2 linked regions of the Neurospora crassa OR74A genome follow. The protein of the gene in region 2 interacts with the protein of the main gene of each other region in a biochemical or structural test. Links are inferred from orthologs where the notes say so. Each region holds a gene or a part of one and is shown on either strand. Other genes may lie near its edges.

Region 1 (3,792 bases), on a different chromosome or scaffold from region 2:
GGATTATTATCAAAAGGGGTAAGAAAAAAAAAAAAAAAAACCAAAGCAAAAAGCTGACATAACCGCTTATGCTTTTAGGCCGACGCCGAAAACAGACCCATGTATCTCGAATCCAGCTCACTCGCCAACAACTCCTACTACCAGAAGTTCGGCTTCGAGACCAAGAGGGACATCTTCCTGAAGCGTGGACGGGACCCCGTCCGTTTGTCCATTATGGTCCGCGAGCCCAATGCCTCTGGCATGACTCCCAGTAGCACCCGCAAGGATCCTGTTGCTGAAGGCTCTAACGTTGGCACGCTCTTCGCTGCTGCTGCTGCTCCTTTGACGACGACGACGACGACCACTAGCAATACTCTTTTGGGATCTACTAGGGCCAAGTTTCCTACTGTCGGCTCCCACCATCATCATGGCCTTCTTGCACATGGGCATTACCATGTTGGTCTTGGAGTTGGCGGTAAGAAGTTGATGTAAGTTGGTGGTGATATACGTAGTAGTGTTTTTATGGAGGATGACGCAGACACGACTTAGATTGGACACTCGTGTTTTTATTCACGTTTGACCTCGGACCATGAGTCTCACTATTGGGTCTCTGACTTGTGTTTACCGGTTGCAAGGGTGGGATATGTTGATATCCGGTTTCATTTTATACTCGAGATGTAATAGCTGTCAATTGCACGCCTTCATGATACACACTCGTTTCATAGCTCAGCCGTCCGGCCTACTAGAATGTTAGCTCTACGATGCAACAAGTCATCAGACGCCCTTCTCTACCTCAAAATTGACTCGGGTATATTCTCTTCATCTTAACAGACGCAGAATCGCAAAACCAAACATGAAAACTAAAAAAAAGAAACCATCCATTCCGGTCCATTCTTGTGAAACGTTAAGCCTTGAGGCGCCGTTCGTTTCCTCGTCCAGATAGGTGGACCGAAAAAAAGAAAAAAAAGAAAAGAAAAAACATGATCCTCTTCAACACTTTTTCCTGAGCCTTTCTCATCCCTTCCTCCTCCGGTGGTATTTCAAGCATGGCTTGCCAGTACCGCTTGCTCTGCCTCCCCCATTCCCAACCACACACGTTAAACTCACCTAAAGCCGAGCTCTCTGAACTAATAATCCAGAATGGCCCACGTCTCATCATCCTGCGTAGTGTAAATAATACCCTGCCCCAGCAACTCATCCGCCGCATTTGTGATATCTCTAACCGACATTCTTGTGCCCTGCGCAATCACATGCAAATTGACACCCTCCGTCCCGCCAGGCGAGTTATTGATGAAATTGCACATGATCTGCGCGTTCCTTGAGCACGTCGCCAATCTCGCCTGCATCGCACTGTTTCCTCCACCGGGGCCAGCGCCGCCCATAGCAACATCGCCGCCTCCTGCTCCGTATCCCTGATCCACAAACATGTTGTCCCCTCCGCCACCTTCTTGTTTGGCACCACCACCACTACCAGGAGCTCCCTTGGTAAAGAACAGATGCACATACGTCGCCTCAAGCAGGTGGTAGTTGACCTCGTTGAAATCCTCAATCTGGCGTATGAAGTTGGCGCTTACGTGTTTCTTGCCGCCGAGAGACTTGAGACGGCCCCACACGCGCACGAAGGCGTCGGGCGCGATCGTGCCGGCACCGCTGCCACCGTCCTCGCCGCCTTGCGCTTCCGAATCGACCCACTTCTTGACGTCGATGGCTCCCGTGCCGTCATCAATCCGGTACGTGATGTTAGTCGGTTGCGGCTTGACCGAGCGCACTTGGCCCACAATGGTCACTTGGGTTACTGGGTGGCCGTCGATGGCAAGCTCGGCGCCGGGGAAGGTCTCTTCCCAATCGAGAAGCTGTTTTATGGTTACGGGGCGGAGGGACTCGTCGGCGTACTGTTGTTGGACGAGAGACAGGTTGTCAGTACCTGATTTGGGTGCTGAGGCGAAGGAAGGAAGGGGTAAAGGTAAACTGGGATAACAGAGGACTTACCTTGGAGCCACCGGCTTGACTACCACCTTGTTGGGATCCGGACATGAAGCCACCGCCATCGCCACCACCATATCCGCCGTAGCCCGCTGTCAAGGTCACACACAGTTAGCTGACTAGACATTTGCGGAGCCTAGGAGAAGAACTAAGGAACTCGGTAAAGAATTACTTACCCATGAGTCTAGTGTTACTGTCTCCTTGGCTATCTAATGAATAGATTCGATTAACTTTCCGTCTTCTCGCAAAAGATCCAGTCGTAGGCAATGAGTGTGATGGACGAGCTGGTGTCAAATGGTGGATTGCGGGGTGAAAGATTGATGCTGGGAGACGCGTTTAGACGCGCCTAGAGGCAGCAAGCACTAAAGGCGGACCCCACTGTCCCACTGCCAGGTGTTCTGCGTAAGAGACGGGAGCAGGCAGCACAATAAAGGAGGGTTAGGGTTCAACATCTGTGAATGACGTATACATAGTACAGTACCCGCCTCTCAGCTGCAAACCAACATCCCTTGCTTAAGGTTCAGCTGGGTTTTAGGGACTACTACTATGTATACACAGTGACATGAAGCTGCCACGCCATTAGAAAAGTACTGAGTGGTGTGGAGACTTGTTCTAGTGAGATGAATACCATATAGTCAACCTTCCTTCTGGTTAAACCCAATGTCTCGAACAGCAACATCCCAAAGCGCCACCCTCGTCACCGAAGACGAGGAAGAAAACGGGACTTACACCAATGACAGAGGGGTCACAAGATGCTCATGCTGTGTGAATCCTTCATCACTGCTTGAGCCCATCGATCTTTCCGATAGGCACGACACCAGTCTCCTCGATGAAAACGAAAACACCTTCTGTCTCTGGCCGCTTTTCGGTCCTATATTGTTCGAAAATGAGAGTAGCGACTGTAGAGATCATTGCGCGAACGAGAGAAGTACGTCCATGTCTTTTGGATCTGGTTCCGTTACATAGAACGACACCTAGAACACTGAAACTTGTTGACTGATGCTATTGCTAAACAGCGTTCCTATCGTTCCTTCGCTTGTCCATCTACATGGCTATCGTTTCCGTCGCCATAGTGCTCTCGTTCCACCTTCGCAAGGCAGCTAGCGACTTGGAGTTGCGGATGGCGAAGCCGTTGGGGATCATTTTCTGGGGGCTTTCTGTCTCTTGCCTTGGTGTAGGAGTGGCCAATTATATCCGTACGTCATGGTTGATTTGGAGTATCCTATCTCAACACCCGCTTTAAAGAATCCTCAAAACCCAACGCTGACATGAGCGGGCTGTTATGCACCAGAAACCGTGAACAAGTATAGCCGTAGGGCAGCAATTGTACAGACAGGTTGGAGAACACAAATTGTAAGCATACTGACTCTTCATCTTCCCACTTGTCATGACTAACCAATTGTATGCAATGCATAGATTATGGGGATTATTGCCCTTTCCATATTCGGGGCATGTATTACGCTTCTAGTTGTTAACAAGTATGGAGAGCAGGCTGATGAGTAGTGACTGAGGACGATATCATCCACGGAACTTGGTTTCGACATGTTGCGACAAATGTTAGATGTCAGTAGAGGCAAAAGATTGTCGACGATATGCATCGCACTTGTACTAGAACAGCGAATAAGTCAGTGCCTGGGACCATCGACATGCCATAGTGAAGATGATGTCAGCATCAACCCACAATATCCATAGACGCCATAATCTTACATCGCCATAACCACCCCCCCCCCCCCATTGCCCCTCTAACCTCGTCACCGGGTGCAAAACAAATTATCCACCCCTCCCTTCCGAACCCCTTTAGCCAAGATATTCTCTTCATCCTCCTCCCCC
Region 2 (4,404 bases):
ATAAAATCGTCACTTAGGGCTGTTCCGTTGGGCTTATCTTGCAGCAAGTAGCGGAAACCCTTCACCTTGGCCCATGTTTCAGGCCCGGCTTCCTTTTCCGCAGCTGCGAGATACTTTTCCAACTCGGCAGAGCCCAATACAACCGGCGCCCACGGCACAATTCCGAGACAATCACGGCCATCGTCAGCCGTGTGGCCCTCGCCAGGCTTCGGTTGGCCGGTTACGATGCGGCGAAGCCATGCGATCTCTTGTAGGGGGTAAGTCCAATCCTTAGCATTGTCGTTCTTGCGGTCGACCTCAATTGCGACGTAGCCCTGAAGATTGCCAGGCGCACCGGTGGCGGTCTGGTATTCCTGGATGGAGTGCTGCTTGGCGAGAGGATTGTCTTCAGCGTACCACTGGTGGGATTCTACCTCGGACTGGGGATAGAGGTGCACATGGGTGTCGATGATGGGAACGGAAACGGCGGGAGATGATGCCATTTTGATCAGGCCGTTATCGAGCTCGAGTTTGGTAAAGCGACGGATATGTTTGGCAAGAAAGTAAGGTATCCAGTGATAGAGAAAGAGAAGGAGACAAGCGAAGCAAGCAAAGTCAGAGATGACAGGAAGTAGGAAGGTCAGGACGTCGAAGCGGTGTACCGTCCTGCAGGCAGACCAACGCTGAACACACAAAAGTAGAGGTATGGATGGGATGTAACTGAGGCAACGGGGGAACTTCCAATCGAGCCTTCTCCTTCTTATATTTTGTATTCGTTTTAGCATAGGCAGGCACGCGCTACAGTACGAGGAGAGTACCTCGATGGTCAGGAGGGGGTGGGAGATGGGATCGACACAGACAGCCAGGAACCACGACGAGGTGGGGTACGTTCGGCATGCAAAGGGCAGGCCCAAGACGGGACAATTCACACCGAAAGATTCAAAGATAGGGTTCCTGATCAAGAATGGTTACCTCCCGTCTTCGGTTTCCATTTCCTTGAGGAACCCAAGGTCCTTTTCCCTTTCGTCTTCCTACAGCACCGGAAGAAAGATACCCTTGTTATGTACAGTCATCACATGATTGTGCGAATATATTAGCAAAAAGGGTTCTATCTGCAAGACCTGACAGAGAAATCATGACATGTTCCAAAAGCTTAAGAAGTGAACGAGGCCAAGAGGGAAGTTGAGCCCCTGGAACTTGCTGAAGTTGAGCTCTCGGGTGGGGTTTGATGTGGAGATATGGGGTTGGCGGGCAACTGCCATGCTTGTCAGAAGCGCTTGGCAGCAACACTCCCCGGCAAACGCAAACTACACGCGCTATACAAACTGGGGCCCTCCGCACGGACCGTGGATGCCTAGCAATTAAACTCTTGCCCCTCCTCGACGCGCTGCCAAACGCGTCGCTGCTGCAGTCCATTGTTTGTGTGAAATTTCCCCTCCAGACCACCATCATCATCAGTCCAACACACTCGATCCATCCGTATCTTGTCGGATCTTTCTTGACTTCTGCGCCCCAATCCTTGCATCTTCGAACACGACTCACGCATAAATCAACCTCAAAAACAACATCGAGAACGTCTCCACGGGCTTGACGCCAACACTACCCAACCAACATGGCGGGTCAAATCACACAGGGCGCTCTGGAGTAGGTTTCTTCACGTGTGCTTCCATCCAGTAGTATGACAGACTCTGACTTCTTGCTATAGCGCCATGTTCAATGATCCCGATCGCGCACAACAACAGTTCCCTGTCCCCATCCTTCAATGTCTCCAGATCAAGACCCTCGACTCCAAGAATGGGGGCGCGGGCGCCACGGAGAGGTTCCGCATTGTGCTGAGCGACCTCAAGAACTATGTCCAATGTATGATGGCCACGCAAACAAACCATCTTGTTCACGATGGCCTCCTGCAACGCGGCTGCATCGTGCGCTTGAAGCAGTATCAAGCTCAATGTCTCAAGGGCAAAAAGTACGCCTATCTACCCCTCCGCCAATTCGGGAAATCCATAACACTGACTGTTTAAATCCAGCATCTTGATTGTCCTCGATCTCGAAGTTATCCAGTCCCTTGGCTGTCCCGAAAAGATGGGCGATCCACAGCCTCTTGGCCCCCGCAGTGCAGAACCACAGCAGAACCCCAATCTCGGCAGCACCGGCTTCTATGGCGTCAAGAGCGAACCTACCCAAGACACGAAACCACAGTTTCCACGCCAGATGCCCTCGCGTAATGCCAGCGGGGGTCAGGGATCAAGCACGATATATCCTATTGAAGGTCTCTCGCCCTTCTCGCACAAATGGACCATCAAGGCCAGAGTCACCTCCAAGTCCGATATCAAGACCTGGCACAAGGCTAGCGGCGAGGGCAAGCTCTTCAGCGTCAACTTTCTTGACGAGAGTGGCGAAATTAGAGCAACAGGATTCAACGACCAAGTCGACCAGTTCTATGATTTGCTACAGGAGGGTCAGGTTTACTACATTTCTACACCTTGCAGGGTACAGCTTGCCAAGAAGCAATGGTCGAATCTCCCCAATGACTACGAGCTCACCTTTGAGCGGGATACCGTGATCGAAAAGGCCGAAGACCAGACATCTGTACCACAGGTACGCTTCAACTTTGTCAACATCCAGGAGCTTCAGGATGTTGAGAGGGATGCGACTGTCGATATTATTGGTGTCCTCAAGGAGGTCCAAGAGGTGACCCAGATTGTATCCAAGACCACACAGAAGCCGTACGACAAGCGCGAGCTGACCCTTGTTGACAACACTGGGTACTCGGTACGTTGTACCATCTGGGGTAAGACGGCCACGAACTTTGATGCTCAGCCTGAATCCATTGTGGCCTTCAAGGGCACAAAGGTCAGCGATTTCGGTGGACGCAGCTTGTCCCTGCTTTCGTCTGGCACCATGGCCATCGATCCGGATATTCCAGAGGCCCATCATCTCAAGGGCTGGTATGATAGCAGCGGCAGGAACAACACCTTCGCCACCCACAACAACATGCAGACCTTGGGTGGTGCGACCGGTCGCAAGGACGACGCCAAGACCATCTCACAAGTAAAGGAAGAGAACCTTGGCACAAACGAGGCGCCGGATTACTTCGCTCTCAAGGCAACGGTTGTATTCATCAAGCAGGATAACTTTGCCTACCCTGGGTGCCGAAGCGAAGGCTGTAACAGGAAGGTCACAGATATGGGTGATGGTACCTGGCGCTGCGAGAAGTGCCAGATCAACCACGATAGACCTCAGTACCGTTACATTATGAGCGTCAACGTCAACGACCACACAGGTCAACTTTGGCTTAGCTGCTTCGACGATACGGCGCGGGTCATCATGGGCAAGTCGGCCGATGAACTTATGGAGATTCGAGAGACCGACGAGACGCGGTTGCCCGCCGAGTTTGAGCAGGCCAACTGCCGCAAGCTGAACTTTAGGTGCAGGGCGAAGATGGACACATTTGGTGAACAGCAGAGGTACGTATCGGGGGTTATTCTCACGATTAGATGGACGTTGCTGACACATTGCTTGTTGCAGGATTCGATACCAGGTCATGAGCGTGGCGCCCCTTGACTACAAGATGGAAGGAAACAAGCTTAACGAGCTCATCAATTCTTACAACCAAATGAGCATGTAAAGGGGAGGGTGGGGTTTGTTCACTTATGCGAGGAACTAGATGATGTATATGGTTAATGAACACGTGTTTGTATTTTCGGGCATGTGGTCTCAAGGATGAACGATATGGGCATCACTGGCCTATCGACTGAAAGATGATTTGCAGTTTCATGATGGACTGGGATGGTTAAGAGCTGTGATGGGCCGAACCCTAACAGAACTTTGTTGGCGTGGCAGCAAATTTCGGCATGATTGCAGACTTGAATAGGTCTCTCAAGCGTTATCTTGGAGTTGAGACACTAGGAGACCTTCCTGTTCGAGTTATCTTCGATAACATGCCGAGGTAAGTACACACGCTTCGTTGACTAGAAGAAAGCTCCAGAGCTGGTCAAGGTCGGATCAGGGCGGTCCTTGCAATGTAATACGCACCTTTCGGGCTCAATATCCACATGGCAATCCGATCATCTCATCCGTTATCGGCCTTCTTCACCCTCTCGTATTCTCAAACTCTTCTATGCTTCAGCTTTTTCACGCAAAGAACCCGTGGCACAGCCTTTCCTGGTCATCTTTCTTCACTTTCCAACTTCCGTTATGTGAATAGGCACCCCGGCTCCGGTCTCTATGCGGACTGTTTAGCTGCTCGATACCGTATCGGCACTTATCGATTACGCAGATGGATGACAGGAACCTAAACGCCGTATCTTCCTTATCGGCCGTCGTCGGGATCCCCTGCCGTGACTCCACATATCCGCCGTCCAGACCCGCCCCCGCTCCGTTCCCTCGGGCCCCCCACTTTCGATGTAGCGGGAAGCTGACACC

The links.
Region 1: the proteins of rpa-1 (region 2) and rpa-2 form a complex in vitro, tested with the Saccharomyces cerevisiae proteins (2 studies listed by BioGRID). The link is inferred for Neurospora crassa OR74A from reciprocal best matches to the Saccharomyces cerevisiae genes RFA1 and RFA2.

The regions. Positions count from the first base shown.
Region 1 is NC_026504.1:2,100,316-2,104,107, forward strand, and holds rpa-2 (replication protein A-2), read right to left. Parts: upstream 2,271-3,792; 5' UTR 2,143-2,270; coding exon 2,139-2,142; intron 2,055-2,138; coding exon 1,969-2,054; intron 1,872-1,968; coding exon 1,107-1,871; 3' UTR 761-1,106; downstream 1-760. Other genes in the region: NCU07718 (hypothetical protein), read left to right, coding at 79-471; NCU07716 (hypothetical protein), read left to right, coding at 2,623-2,890, 2,979-3,158, 3,254-3,315, 3,379-3,465; NCU07715 (hypothetical protein), read right to left, coding at 3,714-3,792. UniProt on the Saccharomyces cerevisiae protein: Binds to single-stranded sequences participating in DNA replication in addition to those mediating transcriptional repression (URS1) and activation (CAR1). Stimulates the activity of a cognate strand exchange protein (SEP1).
Region 2 is NC_026505.1:1,822,175-1,826,578, forward strand, and holds rpa-1 (replication factor-A protein 1), read left to right. Parts: upstream 1-1,354; 5' UTR 1,355-1,591; coding exon 1,592-1,623; intron 1,624-1,684; coding exon 1,685-1,945; intron 1,946-2,006; coding exon 2,007-3,446; intron 3,447-3,507; coding exon 3,508-3,607; 3' UTR 3,608-4,034; downstream 4,035-4,404. Other genes in the region: NCU03605 (amidohydrolase), read right to left, coding at 1-764. UniProt on the Saccharomyces cerevisiae protein: As part of the replication protein A (RPA/RP-A), a single-stranded DNA-binding heterotrimeric complex, may play an essential role in DNA replication, recombination and repair.